Linked DNA regions of Arabidopsis thaliana. The protein of the gene in region 1 interacts with the protein of each later gene in a pairwise test. Each region holds a gene or a part of one and is shown on either strand. Other genes may lie near its edges.

Evidence for each region.
Region 2: the proteins of RABE1c (region 1) and BTI3 interact in a two-hybrid assay, tested with the Arabidopsis thaliana proteins (one large-scale study listed by BioGRID).
Region 3: the proteins of RABE1c (region 1) and REP interact in a two-hybrid assay, tested with the Arabidopsis thaliana proteins (one large-scale study listed by BioGRID).
Region 4: the proteins of RABE1c (region 1) and PRA1.B4 interact in a two-hybrid assay, tested with the Arabidopsis thaliana proteins (one large-scale study listed by BioGRID).

The regions. Positions count from the first base shown.
Region 1 is NC_003074.8:16,915,613-16,920,851, reverse strand, and holds RABE1c (RAB GTPase homolog 8A), read right to left. Parts: upstream 3,326-5,239; 5' UTR 3,066-3,325; exon of another isoform or gene 2,950-3,065; 5' UTR 2,945-2,949; coding exon 2,872-2,944; intron 2,689-2,871; coding exon 2,616-2,688; intron 2,513-2,615; coding exon 2,412-2,512; intron 1,878-2,411; coding exon 1,812-1,877; intron 1,710-1,811; coding exon 1,612-1,709; intron 1,526-1,611; coding exon 1,463-1,525; intron 1,373-1,462; coding exon 1,280-1,372; intron 1,196-1,279; coding exon 1,112-1,195; 3' UTR 834-1,111; downstream 1-833. Other genes in the region: AT3G46070 (C2H2-type zinc finger family protein), read left to right, coding at 1-407; AT3G46050 (Galactose oxidase/kelch repeat superfamily protein), read right to left, coding at 3,668-4,780. UniProt on the Arabidopsis thaliana protein: Involved in membrane trafficking from the Golgi to the plasma membrane.
Region 2 is NC_003076.8:16,633,733-16,638,595, reverse strand, and holds BTI3 (VIRB2-interacting protein 3), read right to left. Parts: upstream 2,568-4,863; 5' UTR 2,367-2,567; coding exon 2,165-2,366; intron 1,948-2,164; coding exon 1,767-1,947; intron 1,688-1,766; coding exon 1,546-1,687; intron 1,462-1,545; coding exon 1,392-1,461; intron 1,303-1,391; coding exon 1,124-1,302; 3' UTR 688-1,123; downstream 1-687. Other genes in the region: CHX18 (cation/H+ exchanger 18), read left to right, coding at 1-42; AT5G41590 (LURP-one-like protein (DUF567)), read left to right, coding at 4,700-4,863. UniProt on the Arabidopsis thaliana protein: Plays a role in the Agrobacterium-mediated plant transformation via its interaction with VirB2, the major component of the T-pilus.
Region 3 is NC_003074.8:2,033,969-2,039,839, forward strand, and holds REP (Rab escort protein), read right to left. Parts: upstream 3,824-5,871; 5' UTR 3,695-3,823; coding exon 2,979-3,694; intron 2,859-2,978; coding exon 2,736-2,858; intron 2,621-2,735; coding exon 2,521-2,620; intron 2,436-2,520; coding exon 2,397-2,435; intron 2,313-2,396; coding exon 2,060-2,312; intron 1,959-2,059; coding exon 1,883-1,958; intron 1,777-1,882; coding exon 1,584-1,776; intron 1,500-1,583; coding exon 1,416-1,499; intron 1,341-1,415; coding exon 1,233-1,340; 3' UTR 945-1,232; downstream 1-944. Other genes in the region: AT3G06545 (uncharacterized protein), read left to right, coding at 4,344-4,842, 4,933-5,009; RWA2 (O-acetyltransferase family protein), read right to left, coding at 5,440-5,673, 5,764-5,860. UniProt on the Arabidopsis thaliana protein: Substrate-binding subunit of the Rab geranylgeranyltransferase (GGTase) complex. Binds unprenylated Rab proteins and presents the substrate peptide to the catalytic component composed of the alpha subunit RGTA and the beta subunit RGTB.
Region 4 is NC_003071.7:16,068,572-16,072,595, forward strand, and holds PRA1.B4 (prenylated RAB acceptor 1.B4), read right to left. Parts: upstream 2,094-4,024; 5' UTR 1,932-2,093; coding exon 1,269-1,931; 3' UTR 815-1,268; downstream 1-814. Other genes in the region: AT2G38350 (uncharacterized protein), read left to right, coding at 498-737; AT2G38365 (endonuclease/glycosyl hydrolase), read left to right, coding at 2,359-2,679; AT2G38370 (weak chloroplast movement under blue light protein (DUF827)), read right to left, coding at 3,613-4,024. UniProt on the Arabidopsis thaliana protein: May be involved in both secretory and endocytic intracellular trafficking in the endosomal/prevacuolar compartments.

The DNA.
Region 1 (5,239 bases):
TCCGATGCAAGACTTGTGAGAGAGACTTCGATTCGTTCCAAGCTTTAGGAGGCCACCGTGCAAGCCACTCGAAACTAACCAACAGTGACGATAAATCACTTCCTGGATCACCAAAGAAGAAGCCTAAAACTACGACTACGACGACGGCTCATACTTGTCCGATTTGTGGCTTGGAGTTTCCGATGGGACAAGCTCTTGGTGGTCACATGAGGAAACATAGGAACGAGAAAGAACGAGAAAAGGCTTCTAACGTATTGGTTACGCATTCTTTCATGCCGGAGACGACAACGGTGACGACTTTGAAGAAATCGAGTAGTGGGAAGAGAGTGGCGTGTTTGGATTTCGACTTAACTTCGGTGGAGAGCTTTGTCAACACGGAATTGGAGTTGGGAAGAACGATGTACTGATTTTTCATGTTCGTTAGGGTTTTAGTTTTATTGATAATCTTACATAGAGTAGTACTTTTTACATGGTTTTAGTCTTTGTTGATCCATTTATCTTACTATTCGATGTGAATACATGATCTGAATACAATCTGATATACTATTCAAGATTTATTTTCTTGTTCGCTAAATTTTGGTTTCACGTTTTATTAACCCTAGAATGTTGTTGAACTATGAGAATGGTTTAACTGGTGTTGAAACTACAATATAAGTGTCAGCTATAGTAACTGTAGTGCAACTAAAACATGATAAGTTTCTTCATCACTGGATTGCTAACACAATTATACGTTTACGACTCATAAATCAGGCAGTGTACATATTATGGTTTTGTATTGCTTATGGTTGTGTCAAAGATGAGTTTACGAGTATTAGAAGTAATGTTTAAAGACTTGATAAAAGAGGAAGCAAGAGAAAAATTAAGAACAGAGGATATATAGAGAGAAGTGATGACCAACATAAACAATTCAGTCACCGTCATAAAAAATCAGTAATAGAAAAGAAAAATACAAGTTTCGATTAAACCTTCGTACAAATAGGAAGGACAATTTAGAAGAACGAATCAGAATTGTTGGCATAAAACAAAAAATTACATAAGCACCCAACGATATCTTAGTTTTTCACTTCACCCCCAAACTTTTTTCGACTTAAACTTCACTTTTAAAACTTTTTTAAGTTCCACAGCATGCAGATTTCTGTGTGGCCTGCCCTGCTCCAGCTGCTTGGTCCGTTTGGCTTATCTTGATCGTTGCAGGCTGCAATTGACCACGTAACATGAATGATCAATGCGTTTTCAGACCTAACAACGCAAAGATGTGAAAGAGAGAGATGTAACAAACCTCTGCCCTCGAGTCGGTGTCTGAAAGCCTCTGCTTAATGTCCCTCCCTATTGAGAAGAAAACTTCTTCCACGTTTAGGTTTGTCTTGGCACTCTGCAACAACAACACATATATAGCTAGATGTGTAAGCAATGTAAACACTACCCATCTAGTTTCGAAGATTGAGAGCATTGTTAGACTTACTGTTTCGAAGAACTTAATTCCGTACTCATCAGCAAGAGCCTGACCCTTTGCTGTAGGTACTGCCTGAAAATTTTGACAGGACCAAGAAGCTATTATTATTAGGATCAGTCGTGAATAAGGAACAGGGATAAAGGTGGTGTGCTTCATACCCTCTTGCTTTCATCCATGTCAGCCTTGTTCCCTACCAAGATCTTGTTAACATTATCCGAAGCATGCTGTTCGATATTACGAATCCAGTTCCTAATGTCTGCAATAACGTCAAGAATCGTGTTAGTAAAAGAGATGTTCATTTTGGTTAAGGAGATTTATAGAAACCAGTAAGTGAAAGACTTGATGGTGGGAGTTTTACTGTTGAAGGATGACTCGTCTGTGACATCATACACCAGCAAAATGCCCATTGCCCCACGGTAATAAGCTGCGAAAATGCGAGAGAAAAAGAATCGTCAAAATGGTGTTGAAACAACAGAAACAGATCAGTATAAACTGCCTAAATATCCTAATAATATCAACTAGACAGTACCTACAAAAGTAACCAGCCAAAAAGAGCAAATCAGTAAATTGGCATTGCACAAATGCATCCCCTTTACCTAGAACTATAAGTGGCTATCTTAGACTACTTATAGGCGTTTGTCATCAATCTCATCTTGACAATCTTTCTAACTTGACTTCTATTGTGATGGTGAATGCTAAGCAAAGTGATCAGTGAGTACATTTATACGAAAAGATGAACTATGAAGTGTCGAAAATAGCCCATAAACATCAACTATACAAGACCAAGTAAAGTAATCAGCCAAACAAAATAAATCAGTCAAGTGGCATTGTACAAGAGATCATAGCACATGTAAGTGTTCATCTCCTCGAGAATCTATCTAATCTGATTCATTACTGATGTTGTGAATGCTCTAAGTACTAATCCAGCAAGCAATTCTTATGAAAAAGATGAACTCACCAGTGGTGATAGTCCGAAACCGCTCTTGACCAGCGGTATCCCAAATCTGAAGCTTGATACGTTTACCGTCAAGCTCAATCGTTCTTATCTTAAAGTCAATGCTACATCAAAGCAAAATAGAGAAACAAGACTCTGTAAAAACAGAATCCAAAACAAACATCACAGAATTCAATTTATCTCCATAAGCAAAGAGAAAACACAAACCCAATGGTGGTAATGAAGCTAGTGGTGAAAGATCCATCAGAGAAACGTAGAAGAAGACAACTTTTACCAACACCTGCAACAAAAAAAAAAAACCTTAGGTTACAGAGATCTCTCAATACAAACACCGATCCACACAACGATCTAATCACAAACAAAAATCACAGTGGAATAGATCGATTCAATGGAAATCAAACAGATTCAACAAATTTCAACGGATCGACGATAAAAACATCGGAGAGGTTTCAGATCAACGTACCGCTATCTCCAATCAAAAGAAGCTTAATGAGATAATCGTAATCAGCTCTGGCTCTAGCAGGTGGAGCAGCCATTGAATCTAAAGGAAACAAAAACTCAAAGATCAAAATCTGAGTTTCATCGAAATCGAATTAGATCAAACAAAAGAGGGAGAAATCGAATGAATCGGCTGCGGGAAAGAAGAAGATCATGTACCGGAGAGAGAAGAAAACCGATGTAATCGGAAGAATCAGAGAGCGAAGGTTATGGCGGACGACTAAAATGCGCCAGTTCCCGATTTAGCTTTTGTTTCCCGGCTTCTTCTATTTTACTTCTTCTTCGTCTGCTTCGCGTGCACGATAGGATACACTGCGCACGTTAGTTGGAAACGAAGGAGTGCGCAGAAAAAGAGAGAAGGATTCTTTTTTGAAGGGCCTATATAGAAAGAAGAAGGCACGAAGCCTTATGGGCCTTTTATTAATTACTTTAAAATCAATTAGCTGGACTAAAACAATGCTATAGTAATTTTTATTTTTATATTTGGTATCAAATACTACTACTGTATACTAATGTAATCTGAAGTCATCTTTGGAAATATATACTACTACTATACAACTATACTTTTCAACAATATATAACTCTTTCATAAGAAGTGTGTTGATGTTTATGTTCTTACGCAACTGCATATTTATTAGAGATACATAAACACCACCAGTATTTTCGTTCATTATCATAAAATCTATACTCAAGATGTTCTAAACAAAATCCCCACAAAAGAATTTAAAACTCTCTCAAAAATTAACATAAACTTCCATTGATCAATATGTCACAATGGTAGAATTCAAGAAGAAATCAGAAAGAGAAGCAGGTAACTTATAAGTTTTGTAGTCATCCTTAGTAAAGACATTCTTAGACCATTCAACAAATCCACAAACCTTTCCAACACCGCGTCTCTCAAACGAAATCTCTGCACACCAAATCTCTGTTTTACATTCCTTAGTCCATTTGGGACCTAGACGATGTAACACAGCCGACTCCCACCAAACTGTTACTCTTCTTCCTCGGTCGGAATGTGCCACCGAGGTAAGATAACCAGGAGAAGTTGGCCTATTGGGAAGTCCTTCAAGTCCATCAACCGGACACCACCCACGATCTTCCTCTGGTTCACACCAAACTAACACCCCTTCACAAACCTTTGTTTGGCACATCATGTTCTCTATCTCCACCAAGCAAATATTCTTCTGAAAGTTAAGCTTCAATCCATTCATGTCATAAACTTTCCCACTCATTACCAAGCTACCTGGAACCACACTCATTTGAACAGTAAGATCTAGTGTTGTGGGCAATACTGGCTCCCAAGTTTGGGTCTTTGGGTCATAAACCTCTCCCCAATCCTCGATATTGTTGGAACTAGAGCCTCCAATCACGTAGATCTTATCGTTGATTACATCAGCTGCTGCGTTTTGTCGAGGTACACGCATCTCGGGGAGTCTACGCCATCCATGAGATGGACAATCGAGTACTATCAATCTCCTGCTACTATGTCCATCAACGAAGCCTCCGATTATGTAAATCTTTGAACCGATTGATACAACGGTTGAGGATTGACAAGTAACCGAAGGGATAGGTTTCAGTTTCTGTTTGGTAATCGGGGAAACTATAAACCATCGTGGAGGACAGTCTGGATAGCAATTCCTATGCAGGTCTAAGCAGACGTAGAGGAAACTCTCGGTTTTTCCGATGCAAGATCGTGTTGCGTGGAGCTCACGGGAGTCTAGGAGTGATCGGAAACCCTTGCAGACTAGGGATAGAGTTGGATAATGGAATCTGGAGACACGAGCCAAACAGTTGAGAACGATGTCGTCCGGTAACGAAGAAAACGACGTCGGAGGCGGTGAGTTTGATGATTTATTCTTCTCTTTCGTCGTCATTGTCTTCTTAGTTTTTTTGTTTCTGGTAAACGTCTTCTTAGGTTTTTGATTTAGGGTTTTTGTGCGTTATTAGTTATTTCCTTCAAATTTATTAACGAAGAATACCTAAAATTATACCTATGTAGCATAGAAACCTTGTTGGAAGGAAAACTATTAAATTTTGTTTCTTAGAATTTTAACTTATTTTGTCAGTATTTCTAAAATCTTTTTCGAATTTTCACAGTTCCCTCAGAGATTTGTTTGTATTTTGATGAACATTGTAAATGAAAAACATATTAAAATGTTTTAAGAAAACAAACAAGAAGAGCACGAGACTAAAATGAGTAAATGCCACATATAACGATAAGTCAAGAAAGATGATTTTGATTTCATAAATCGCAAGTCTAACGAATTCAAAAACTGAAATTAATTAGTCTACTCATCTCCAAGTTTTTACGTATCCGAGTGACCACAACATAT
Region 2 (4,863 bases), on another chromosome or scaffold:
GAGACGGAGGTATTGACTTCTACGGATAAAGACTCTGATTGAATGAATCATTGGTTAAAAACAAGAACGGTTCGGTTCGGGTCAGGGGTTGGTTTACCATAGTTAGTGAAAAGTTGGTTAATGAATACGGTTTAATCAAAATGACTGTACTTGGCTTTCACTGTTTCATCTTTTCTTTCTTTTTTGTCGTCACTGTTCATCTTTAAGTTTTTTTGCTTTTGAAAGTAAATGGTTAAATGATGACAAAAAAAAAAATAATGGTTGTTGTAAAAAAAGTTATCTACTTTAATCGGAAAAATAATAAATTTAAAAATCCAGTCATTGAACATAAAACTAAAAACAGAAATGTCAGAAGTGGGGTTTGAACCCACGCCCTCTTACGAGGACCAGAACTTGAGTCTGGCGCCTTAGACCACTCGGCCATCCTGACTTTTGATATTGTTTTCTACTACAAACTATATATAGTGATTAACACCTAGTTGTCTACCTTACGTATGTTGCTTACTTTAAGTAATTATCCAGATTTGATGGTTATCATACCGAAAGCGTTTGGTATTGTGGAATCCACTTTTTGTGTGATTATTTTTGTCGAGAAATCGTGAAATCGCAATTTTGGCAAAAGAATTATGAACAAATTTTTTTGGAAAATTATCAAATTGCGTTTAACCTAGTTCATATACCAATCATTTTAGCTTTTCCTATGAACAAGATGTTGAGATGATGAAAGAGATGGAATGGGAAGAATATTATTAGTCAAATAAAAACAAGAAAGATTCTTATGAACTAAAGTTAGATCGCAGTAGCAGTGAAGAGCGAAAAACCCACGAAACAATTTGAGTTTATGTGTATGGACCAATCCTCAGACATGATGCAAAATTGACATGACGAATACCATCATGGAGAGCTGTTAAAAGGATGAGAAATTAACTAAGACAAATAACTAACAACAATAATTATCATCCATCCGTGTTCTCTCATAATCTAAATATTTTTAGTTAAAACCCCCAAATTTATAATGAACATAATAATAACAAGAGATCAAAGGGTTTATCAACCAACAGCTTCTAACAAAACATGTCTTGAACCATTACTACGATTCCAATGAGAGAGTAACTCACATTCCTTAATCCTTCTTCTTGTTCAGAGCTCCTCTTGGAATCTTGCTTATGACCTTACGCAATACCTTCTCATCAAGTACTGCATATTGCTTTTTGATCTCCCTCATCGCCTTCTCCCCATAGGCATCTACTTTGTCCTCATACTTCTCGTAGAGTACAGGAATGGTGAAGAGAAGGACAGTAGCTGGAAGCAAGAAAGAAAAGCTGGTTATCAAGATATGCAAGTATGATTCCTATCAGATTAAATGCAGTAAGATGTAAATGAATCGTTACCAGTGTAGAACAATGTCAAGAAGTTGTAGCAGCTGCCAATAATGGACAAAACCCACAAGCCAGCAATTACCTAAAACATGTGCAAGCAAGTATTAGCATTTATGAGGAACATAAGAAAACCGCTTTGCATCGAGGTAGATAACATGAACAATACCAGGATAAATTTCTTGACATCTTTTCCTGATGCAATGTTCCTAAGAAGGGTCAAACCACGATTGATTTCAATCCTTAATCCAGAAACAAGTTGAAGAATAGGATCTTCAGGGATGTGAACTTCCGGGATGTGAGGAGTTGACCTGAGGATAAGAACTCAGTTGATCAGGCAGTTATCTCATACTTAACACTTAACATATAAGGGATGTTGTAAGAACATACTTGTGGATGAATGTACAAGCATTAGACCACAAGAACAATGCTGCAAGAGCAAAAATCGCAAAGTGACAGAGAAAAGCGAGGAGATGGTATTCGAATAACTCGAATAAGACCCAAGACGCAGTTACAGCACCCAAGACTCCACCAGATACCTTCTTGTTCCTCCAAAGGAATATATCAGCAGCTACATGCAAACAATGAATCCAGATTCAACATAGTTTCTGAGTATTTCACAAGATTTAAGCGTACTTTCGAGCAAAGCAGACAATTAAGCACTCAAATACACTCAATTTTAGCTTCAAATTAGAGCAACATTCACTAGATCGAGCAAAATCACTATGTAAGATACAAAATCGAGTAAAATCAGAGTTCAAAGTGAAGAAATAGAGATAGATCCATACGTTTTCCACCACCGAGAACCTTGTGAACAGGTTTCTCCCTTCCGAAAAGTCGGTAAATCTTTGACTTGAAGGACGACGACGAAGACGATGTAGATTTCTTATCGTCGTCGGAATCGGACAGAGAAGACGAGTCACCGTGGCCATGGATCTTCTCAACAATCTTCTCCAAGATCGATTCCTCGTGCTTGTGGTCTTCCACCATTTTTGTTGATTCTACAAACCTCCGAGAAGAAGAAAAAAAAACCTAAAACTCTTTACTGATTGAAGAGTGTGGGAGGAGACTGTGACGAATAAAAGCGTGTGCTTCAGATTTAATCCCACCCCTTGATTTAAAACATTTAATCCAGTCCGTTTGATTCGGGTCTGGGCCTCGAGTAGGTAACCGTCCACGGTGGAAAATCAAACTATTTATTTTGTAGCAGATGTAACATATTTGGCGTGGAACTAACGGTCGTTAATTAATGTGAATATTCCCGATAACGTCTCCGTTAGTGGAACGTTAGATGTCGGCGGATAGGATCCAGCATTGGGCCCATTTATGGGATTGTTGGTACAGTATTAAGGCCCATTTATTACTGATCCATTTCATAGTAAAAATAAAAAATTGTTAGGCATAGTAAAATTGTTATGAGAATATGTTGATAGAATGAAAATGCTCCTAGATGAAAGATGATCATACACCTGTTGATTAAACATTACAAGGTCACAGATTATATATATTGACATCTCAAAAATTAACCAAGACGCTGCGTTTTGGAGATATTGGATTTCGAAGACCCGGAAGATAAGAGGAGAATAGTCAGTGACTCTCACGCACGTGGGGTTTGAATTGATGACTCTGGTCTCTTGGCCTCGAGATCTAACTTCTTCCGTGGGATCCAATTTTGAGCTGAGTCATGACACGTGTTACAACACGTGTGCTCCACTGTGTCGACATCACTCTTGAAGGTAAGATTTTTTGGAGTAATGGCAAACCCAGAGATCAACAAAATCAGGTTTGACAATGAAAGCTCACTTATTTATTTATGTACTTTTCCAATAATTTGATTAGTCCAAATATATTATTCTATTTGGATATTCATTCATATACATAATTACATACACATGCAGTGTTAGAAGTGAGTTTAATATGGAAGATTCGTCGTCTAGTGTGACATGAAATTCCACCATTTCATATAATTAGATTTTCTTCTTATATATATAATTTTATGCATCTAATCGTGTGGATGAGAATTGTCCTTCACCTAACCAACCTTTTCGAAGAAAAAGAGAGATTTGTTTCTTAATATATCTTCAGAAAGAGAGAGAGATTCGATGACAAAAAGGATAAGAGATTCTTGGAGACCTCAAAAATCTACTATCGTGGGTCTAAGAAGATTACGTGGCTCGTTTTAAGACCCTTGCATAATCTTAAAGTTCTTACCTATTTTTTTTTTTTTGTCGTAAAGTTCTTACCTAATACAGTAATATATTTTTATATTGTATAAAATATTATACATTAATTAATCAAAAAAAAATTCCAATTCAATCCTGAAACAGTGAAACCCATGCGTGCCAAAGCCAAAAATCTGACTACCTTGCTAAGTGCTAATCATTACCCAATCAGAGTTCATATCAGGAATATACCATATCCATAAGAGCTATATACTAATTACTTGCAAAAGTTTGCACCAAACCTTACTACGTACAAAAGAAAAGATCGTAGATGGTCAAAATTGTGGCTTACTATAATGGCTTATTATATAGTTATTTTTAGATAGCTAAATTTCTTGTATATACAATTTTGAGTTTTACGTATAGAAAAAAATATCATATTTGAGTTTGGTAAAAAGGATGAGTAAATAATTTGGAGATTTCAACCTTCATGTTAAGTTTTCATTTTCGATTAATTTTATCTAATTTTTTATTTTAATTTCTTTGATAACCAAACAATGTAATTTAGACTAATCCTTTTGGACTTATAAAACAAAAACAATTTACTATATATGCAAGCTGTAATAGGGTGATTTGAGTTCTAGTCCACTAAATGTAAATGTTACGTACGTTAAATTTGTATTTGTAATGTGATAAAAAAAAATCTAATGACCTGTATTCATTAACTTAAAAAAAATTCTAATTAACTTATAGAATGGTATAATATCTTATCATATTGTATTATTTTTCAAATAACACTAAAAATTTTGACTCATAATTAATAAAACGTTTAAAGCTTTTTAGGTGAAATTCTTATTTTTATATTTTGTAGAATAGTACAGTTTTGTCACTAAGTATTATTTGTGGTCGCATTTAAATATCAAGTAGCGATATTTAAAAACTTTGCAAGTTGATATAAAGAAGAAAAAAATTATAATATAATAAGACAATGATATAATATAACAAAGCTAATATCTTTCATCCACACACATATATATTAGATCTATATATATATATCTCATATGTATACCTAACCTTACCATATTTGTATTGAGAATTGAGATTAATTAGATCTGTAAAACTCTCTTAAAATAGTTAACCAAGAACACCAAAACTACAAAAATGTTCCCTTTCTTGAAGCAACGGTCGAGGTCGGTCCACGGTGAAGATGCACCGTCATCTACAGAGTCCACAGTCTCCGTCGCTGCCGCAGATATTGGAGGAGCGTGTACGACACTCACGGTGTGGAGAAAATCGCTTCTGGTGAGTTGTGAAGGATTCACGGT
Region 3 (5,871 bases), about 15 Mb from region 1:
AATCACAATTCAGAAATTCTTTACAGTTTTACCTCATTTTTAATCTGAATCAAGAATCGATAACAATAATTTCGGACCATAATCTGAGCAGAAGATAACACACGGTAATAGTTCTTTTCGTCTTGTTATATTCTCATGTAAATAAACTATAGTGGTTTGGGCTTTTGGTCTAATCCTTTTAGCTTTCATGCCTCTCTTCAAGTTGGGTTTGGTATCCCTTTATTGGGGTTGGGCCTTTTTAGTTTCAGTTTTAAAATTTTGTAATCATCTAGTTGGGCTTGACCTATTTTGTAATGTTCCATTTTATGATAAAAAGTCAATAGAAAGACCTTTAGGCAAAAAAAAAAAAAAAAAAACTAGTCGTGAACAATAAGTTATACAACAAATGAAATCTCGTCCCACGCGCTGCAAGTCTTTTCAATTTTAAATTTATGCAAAAATCCCCGAAAAGGAGGGTTATAGTCCACGGATTATAGTCTCACGCGCCGAAACGCGCCTGTGATGCGAGTGGTTTTGTATTTTAAATTCCTACACGCGTGTAGTTCTGTTTTAATCTTTAATTGATAGAATTATTTCGGGTCCAATTCCGACGCTAATTCAGACCCAATGGGCTTTAAATTCTGTCAAGTGTCAACCTTTGGGATTGGATAAACGATTGACGATTCTCTCCAGAGAATAACCAAACCCTCATAATTGGGCCTCATAATGAGAGCTTGGCACCACATTACATATGATAACATTAACCCAACGATCTCGAAAAAAGCATTCAAATTCTTAATCTTGACTTCAAAGTCAAATTTCCTAGTCGATAATGATATCTTCCTTGATTTTTTAAGTTTCTGGACTTGGCCATGAAAATCAGAATTGGAGTCGAAATATACGAAATCGGAAGTGTTTATTCAAAGAGAAACATAGAACGATTATGGTTGTGATCGGTAAAAGATGTCTGAATAAATTAATTTCTATACAAATTCATTATTTCTTTTTAGTCGTTGATTTAAAGTTTGTGGAGTTTCAATGGTTAGACAAGCGGTCGTGGATTAATCACTTCTTCTCAATCCTTTATTTCTTCCCTAATCATAGTTGCTCTCTAGTGAATAAGTAAAGAAAATGGCTCACCCTCCCTCTGCCAATCTTCCTGCTTCCCCTCTAATAACGGGGTAACTATATGTTACAATCAAATAAATAAATGGGTATTCTAAGTCTTTAAAACCAATGGTTTCATTCATCAATCAATCTTCTATTTCAACACCACCATCGTTTTCCTCCTCCGTTGTGTTCTCCGCCGGTGAGGTCTCTTCTTTAAATAATTCTTCACTCCCCATGAGCTTTTCATATAGCTACCAAATCCAATATGATAACATTATCAAAACCATAACTTAATGAGATAACTGCTGTAAGGAGCTTCTACTAACCTTCACGGCTGATTCCACTATCTCATTGTAGTTCAAGTTTCCATCTGGACTAGGCATGGAACTGATCGTACCTCCAAATTCACCCTGATCCAAATCAAACTTTTATTTAGTGAAAATGACATTACCAACGTCGAAATGAAAAGGTAAATTCCCAATCACATTTTCCACCTTGACTAGCTCTTGCACGTACAGTGCTCTCCAGAGTAGAATAGGTTTTGTCTCAGAAGTATCATTCTCAACAACGGAATCGCTTTGACGATTCTCGGGAACAGGCAAACTGATGAGATTACTCATGGCTGATAATAGCGCCTTTATCCCTTGGTCATCATTGTCGCACAAAGTTGAAAGATATAAAACATGCCTGCAGCAGCAAATATATATGGCTTAGAGAACAGTTAAAGCTAAGCAAATGGAAAGAAACAGAACTAAAATGGGAAAAGATCATCTTAGGCTAAACCACAACTTACATGTCAGCAGGACAAACCGCTAAACCACTACCAAGCTGCAGAACCCGAATTGCAGTTAGCTGTTCTGGAAACAAAGCTAAGAGGAAAAAACTATTAATGTTAGAACCTTCAAAACGCAAAAGACGATATACATGTAAGTGAAACAACTAACTAGTGGGTCTTCAAAAATTAGCTTACATTTAGGTGGATAAACGACAAGAGCGTTTGATACATTAGCTTTCACAGAACCTCTAATGACGCATACTCCTCTTGCAATTTTCTCCTTATTGATCATCGACTTTGGGACAAGAACACTGAGAGTTTCATTTTGCTGATCTGTCAATGACGACAGAGACTCTAATCCAACAGTAACACATGGATCCAGAATCAACTTTTGGCTGAATATCTCTTGACCAGAAGCTAATCTAACCCCTTTGTAACCCCCAGTTTCCTGCAAAAAGAGTTTAAAATAATCAAGTAAGAATCCTTTCCGTCAACTAAACTTATCTTATGCTACAACTGTCAGCTAACTTGCCTTGTCTAAAAGCAGAGCAGTAATAGGCATCCGGAGAACCTGTGAAAACAATGAAAGACTAAATAAGTAACAAATACCACAACAGCAACACAGTACACAATGCAGAAAATTGTTCCAAACGTACATAGATACATCCTTTGACAGCAGCCCGACGACAAAAGGCTTGTGGAAGTTCTCCTTGTCCATAAATTGGGTATATCAACGCCCCAAGTGCGTTAGAAAACCTAAGGTAGAGAATCAAAAGCTAAATTATACTCAATATAACCAATGATAATGTAAACCAATAAGAAAGATGATCACAAATGTGTAAGAGCCAGGAATGAGAAAATGATGAATGACCTGCCCATAGATGTGATGTATAGAGCCAATCGATCTATCCCCTCTTTGGTCTTGAGTAAATGTCTACAAGTTTCCGTATTGTCTTGATCATAATCTAGCATCGCAATGGCATACAAGATGATCCTACACAGAAGAAGAGGAAACAAAGCCTTACCTATCAACATTTCAGAGACAAAATTCTAAGAAGCATTAAGCAGAGACAAATGTCCAAAGAGCTGCCATTAACAGAGAAGGAGGTTATACGATTTGATTTTGGGTGGTAAACGCATCTTTGACAAGAAGTCCACAAATGGACTCTCCATATCTTCCTCCGATATCTTGACTGTTGTTGAATCATCTTTTTCGGTAGAAGAAGCCAAGTGACTTTGAACAAGCTTGAAGAATTTCATGAGCTGATTCTTCTCCAACAGAGTCAAGCTCTTGTCCTTGAATATAGCAGCTCTCGAATCCGGCACATTTCGTAGCTCACCGCTCGAATCCCCAACGAAGCTGGCATCGATGCTCTTGAACTCAACGTAGTTGTTAGCTCCTGATTTCAGCATGAGATTAATTGATTCATCGGCACAGAAGACAACCCTAGGACCAGCCAAGTCAACGTTGAATCTTCTAGAGTGTTCTTCGAGGATCTCCGATTCGAAGCTCGAAATCTCCACGGAGGAATACAAGGATCGGTTAACGAGATCCACGGAGATAAAATCATGGTTGTTTGACGGAGGGAGAGGAGGAGATGACGGCGACGGAGGAGGAGAAACGGAGTTTGAGTGAAGGAAAGAAGTGAGATCGGGAAGGGAAAGAGAGGCGAAGTGAGAGCCGTAGAAGGGGTTAGGGTCGAGGTGGAGAACAGAACTACCGGAGGAGGAAGCAGCGGCGGCTAAGACGGACTCAGAGACTCCGGTGCCGACGACAATGAGATCGTAGTTGGAAGGATCAAGCGGCGGGTAAGGAGGGATGTCGATCATGGTGGCTCGAACAGATTTGTGTATCAAAAGTCGAACCAACGTGACTTCAGTAGCTTGATCGATACACGAGCGTTGAATAATCTGGGAAGATGTTGAGATGAGTGAGGAGAATCGAGGAAGAGGTTCAAGAGAAGAAGAAGTTTCTTCTTACATTACATATACAAACGTAATGGGCCTAAGATGTAAATGAATAAAAGAGGTAAGTGTGAATCGGCCCAACATGGCCCATCTTCTTAATCAACGCATAGACTATAGGGTCTACTGTTTTTCTTATGTTAGAAACTTAAAATATGATTTTTTTTTTTATATAAACGGTTTAATTGAAGAAAATAGAGTTTATACTTTCTTCGTTCACTTTACTGGTCAGTGGTCCACTTATAATGTGATTTTTTGAACTATTTTCTTTGTTGAATATAAAAGAATTTTATATATCTTGAAAAAAAAAAGTGTTAGATAAAGATTGCGAAGATTTCTTTTGTTTGTTGTGATTATGAAAATCTTCTAACCACTTTTAACTAATAATAGAGATATACCACATTCTTCTGGATAAAAGCAGATTTAACTAACTAAATAAAAGAAATCGAAAAACGAATTCACGACGACTATTAAATCTCCGAAACCCCATAGTCCTAGTAAAAACACACACACGATGGAGAAGAAGATTAGTGATATGGATGTGTTTGTTTGCAGAGGAATATGGTATATAATGACTCTACTCTCACTTTTTGGCCTCTCCAAATCACTCAATCTTCTCTGGCCACCTGGAGATTCATCGTCTCAGTCCTTTAGGGACGGTGCGGTCAGTGTCACAACATTCTACGCAGTGACGCTACTCAGATATCTTTTTTTCACCGCTCCTCCTTCCGCTTGCTACAAGGAGTTTACTACAAAGTTGGAGAGAGTACCTCAGGTTTTGTTTTCGACATTTTCCGCAAATTTAGCGTTGGCATTGCCCTTAATATATGAGCTATTGACAAACAAAGAGTTTGAATTGTCCATGTCGTTATTCACCATCTCGTTGTTCACCGGAGGGTTAGGGCTGATTCAGCTATCGGATAAGTTTAGGATGGAGATCGGACATGCTTTGTACACGCTCTTCCTCGGTTGGTTATCTTGTCTCTTTAGCATGTCTAACAATCTATACCGGGGTGACTATAAGGTACTGTTATTGTTTTTAATATCAGTACCTCATTTTTTGCTTTCCTTTGGGCCCGCGTATAATTTCTCCAAATGGGAAGACTCGGACACTTTCTCTGCCTACCGAGCAATAGAGGACAAGCTTGACACACATGCTATGACTACACTTTCTATCTAAGTATATCAATGTTTCCTTACATTAAAGTAATGGCTTTTGCAAGTCCATCATATTTTACTTTGATGTAAGATTAATCTGGATTTTATAGCTATACAATTACTCATATGGATTTCCTTTAACTTGTAATAGACAATAATAAGTCTTAACATCATCGTGAACAGAAACACAAATAAACAAGAAAGAACACCTTATTCATAAATAAATATACAGAAAGATGACATTACAGCAACATTGTATGCATCTACCTCTGATTTCTATCTTCGTATATCTACCATATCGCGTAGTTCAACTCCTATGAATTCATTCGAATAGTCCACTCTGGTCCGGTTCAGAAGTGCTTCACACCTGTTTGTTTCCAGTGAAATAATAAAACGTGAGATGGTTCAATCGAATATGAGAGGATGACATTCGTCCTCGCTTTGTGTATGCACTAACATATCAATGAACTCAAGTACCAGGGAAAAAAAAGCTTTCTCCCACACAAAAAGATAAAATTTTGACTTACCAGTTTTTGGGGAATTGTGATAAGAATAAATGAGAAAAAGTAGAGACAAGTGCAGATTATGAGTGCTGAGATCGTGTTGTAGACAAGGCGTTTGTCGTCCTTGGTTGGTATGAAGGCTGTTTTCAAAGTGTTGGTAAGCTCAAAGAGCCTATAAGAGATCTGAAAACAGAGCAACAAAAAGCCAATCAGTTTGTTTGTATCTGTCTGGCTTTCAACTTGTTTCTATCTGTTGTAGCAGGGTTTGCTTACAGCGACGTAAATCGAAGTAGTGAGCATGAAGTTCAACAATGGGTAATCCGGGACAAGAGATAGTAGTAATTTGGGTTGACCATCAGGAACTCCAGATCTGTGGGTGAA
Region 4 (4,024 bases), on another chromosome or scaffold:
AATTTTACTTTTTCAGTGTTTTTTTGGCTTACGGTGCAAGCCAGCAATTTGACATCTTCCACTTATTACTTTTCTGACAAACGTGTTTCTTTTTTTCTTTGTTTCAAACTATACTATAAAAATAAATTATTATTCCATGGTTACTTTTTTGAAGACGTTTAGTCCGAGACTTTTGGTACTCTCATTGGACTCTTCCCAGCTCAAATTGCGCGCCAACTAACAAACTGTAGCTTTTGCCTTCGCAAAGAACAATTTCTAAGTCACTGGCATTGACAAATCCCAAGTTCAAGGAGATTCTAGTTTCCGAGGTCAATACAACTTAGGATATTGCTTTGCTTTTGGTTATAGAGATATTTGCGACTAAGACTTTGTACTTTTTTGTAATTTACTAATTTTCGTTGATGGAAGATGTCAAATTGGTGACTTATACCGTAAGCTAAAACCCTTAAAAAGATAAGAATGTAAGGTGGATTGTCACCCAATACTATTAATTTTAGGTAAGTAACAAATCATTTTTAAAACGAAGCTTCCTTGTTGGCTTAGGGTATACGCCACCAATTCGATATTTCATAGACATTGGGCCTTTGCCGAACTGGACTCGAAAAGAAGTAAATGAGCTTATACTGGGCCGGACTCGAGTACGAAGCCCAATACTAAAGCTGCTCATCGAATTATTTGTGCATCGCATTTGCTCCGACCCACGATTTCAAGTCAAGTCAAGTAGCGTAAATGCGTAATGTGGATATTGTTCTGCTGCTCATCCTCAATAGGAAGTAATTTCCTTTCGTTAAATCCTACGACTCTGATCCAGGTCTGTCTTATGATGGGTGCTTTTGAAAACTGGTGAAATTTGGATGGATCTTGCATGCACATGCATCCAAATTTGACTCTTTTGATTGTATACACGCAGTGCAATGTAGTCACATAACAAATCAAAAGATGGCTACAAGTTCTAATAAACAGATCCATTGCATTTTGAATTTGATCATGAAATAAATCCATATCTTCCAAAACAACACTTGTAAATTAAAAAAGGCTAAAGATTAACACAAAACGGTAGTAAAACTTCATCAAATCAAAATCATGCAAAGATATATATTTCATCTATAGCTATTGCCCATGAACAAGAACCAAAATTAGGCCAGATCCACAACATTTTCACGTTTATTGTTTTCAGATTAAAAAAACAAAATCTAAGTATCAAATTCAACAAATGAATCATATAGAAAGATTTACCCAGGCGAGGGAATGGTAGATCGGAATCGCATTTACACGCGAGCGGCGATAACAGCAGGCGCGGCTGAAGAGGCGGCACCACCGAGGAAAGAGAGGAATCCGGTAGCAGCAGGCTCTTGCTCATCAAGGAAAAGATCTTCCGGAGCTCTAAAAGCACCATGAGCACAGATCAACGCAACACCAATCATCATAGCCGAAACCAGAACAGATCCAACATCGGTGAGGAAGATCACAAAGATACTGAACAAAATCAAACACCCTAACGTCTCACGATCGGAGAATGTACGACCGAATAGAACGATCGGCTGATCCGTGGGACGGAACAAGTAGAGGAAGAGCCACGACGCGAGGAGACAGAGGAGGAAGACGAGAGAGAAAGGATGAGTGACGAGAGAGAATCCGACGATCGCTGTAGCGACGGTGAGGTAATTAACCTTGAAATACGAGTAATTCTTGCGGATACGAACAGCAGCGTCGGAGATCGACTCAGGTTTGGATAATGCGGAACGATCCGCGAGCTCAGCCCAAGGACGACGCTTAGAGAGACCGTTTTTAACGGTTTCGGTGATCTGATTGATGAAATTGCGGAAAGCTGGAGTAGCGATCGGTGGTTGAGATTCGACGGAGGAAGGAGCGGCGGATGGAACGGTTTGGGGATTGGAGATTGGGAGGACTGGTGGTGCTGAGGAAGCCATTGGAGATCAAGTTTGGTAGATCTGAGAAAGAGAGAAGAATTAGGGTTGAAGAAATTGAAGAATTGGGCAAGATCTGATTAATAAATTAAAGAGGGAAGGAGAGATAGATTTGTTTTATATACGGGTATGAGAAAATTGTTGACCTTCCTATTTCTTTCGTTGCTACGGGTCACCGACAATAAACGTGACTCTTTTCCTTTTTGGTTTTCCTATTATTATTTGATTTAATTATGATCTATATTAGGTTAAATCTCGTGTTTTAGGGAGATAAATGTTAAAGAGTTTTATATTTATATCTATTTTTTCCAAAATTTTAAAAGTGAATGAAACTATTATATTGAATTTTATTTTTCCGATAACGGTATATTACTATTTAATCAAGATTTATTAAGGTAATGGATACATTCTATGATTTTTGGAGGAGCTTATGTTATGGACAGTTGACCGGACACGTATACCAACTAATCTCATGGTAATCTCAAGCAAAATCACAGATGACTGCTCGTACGTCAAGTGTCTTTCGTTTATGATGAAAAGCAGGACTGGGAATATTCTCTTAGCTCAGCCTGAGAACTTGGCTCATGATGATGATTTATCACAATCGCTTCTTAGTCAAGTAACTGCAGTGTGGCTTTGGACAAGCCTATCATATGGAGGAAAGCCTATCTTCAATCGTGGGATCTCACAACTGGTCACCAAGAAGTGGACAAGTACTTCAGTTCAAGGGGAGACTTCAGTTAACCAATAACAGAAACGATGATGGTTATGAGACAGAGGATTACACAAAGGTGGGTGAGTCATCTTCAACACAGAGAACACCAATAACCATGTCTCGCTCCCGGCTCCACAAGAGATTTCGCCGCGGCTGAGATTGGCGTCTTCTGGGACATGGAGGTTGGTGATTGGGACTTGGGAGTGAACTCTTTTAACTCTTTTATTCAAATCTTTCAGTTTGTTTTCTTTCAATGAAAAGCTGATGGAAAGTCTCAGTAGTTTTGATCAATGCGTTATTGATTAGGCAGTCTTGTTGATTTCTTGAGATGTAAGTCATTTAAATCTCTTGTCTACTACAATGGTTTTGTGGCTTAAAGAGGTGTCAGAGAGTTGGCCAAAACAGAGGCGAATGCAGAGTCAAGTGTTTTGGCAATTTGTCAATGCTATATCATATGTGGCTACTACTGCAGCTATACACATTGCCAACAACAATCCATTGTTTCATTAACGCACCAAAGTCATATTGTGAGAAGAAGAATCCAAGCTACTTTGATCATGGCTCTACACTTACGAAGAGAGAATTAACTAGGAGATGTGTTTACAAAACCATTGTTTCCTAATCATGTTCCAAGTCTCATTGGATATTAGATACTACCTCAGTTTAAAATGATAAGTTTGTTAGTCCCTTGAGTCATATGATGATTTAGTTAGTCTCTTAACTGATTGTTCTATGTATACATATTAACTCTCAGAGTATAAAAGAAGCTTTGTAATAGAATTAAGTTACTGAAAAATTCCATACTTCATCATCTTCTCTGTTTCGTTTCTCTGTCAATGCTAATATGGTCGTATTGGGATTAATTAGCCTAGATTAGCATTATAATAAAGCACTTGATGATACACTTTGTTTTCTTAAACTACTGGTTCACGTACAAAACAGAAAGAAGTCATCAACAGATTCAAAATATCACCTTAAGTTCAAAGCTATCTTTTTCTTCTTCTTCTTGTTCTTGCTCTCTTTGTTCAACAACACAGAGATCTTAGCAAATCCGAAACTCTTTCTCTTTCGAGTCTTCGTCCTTTTCTCATTCTCTTTCCCTTCACTTCTCTTGCTTACAGTTTTATCACTACTGCTATTCTTTGCAAGCATCTGACCCAACGACATTTTTCTTCTCTCATTAGCAACATTCATATCTGAATCCTCTGCAAGAAGTAGCTTCTTGCTCAGTATTTGTCCTATTGACATTGTTGGTTTCAAGACTGGGACCGTTGAAGAAGATGATGACCCGTCAACAACATCGTATGTCAGATGCAGACCGTTTACATCCATCAGACGTGTTGTTGTCTCTCTTCTGCTCTTGAACTTGGAAGTGTTGTTC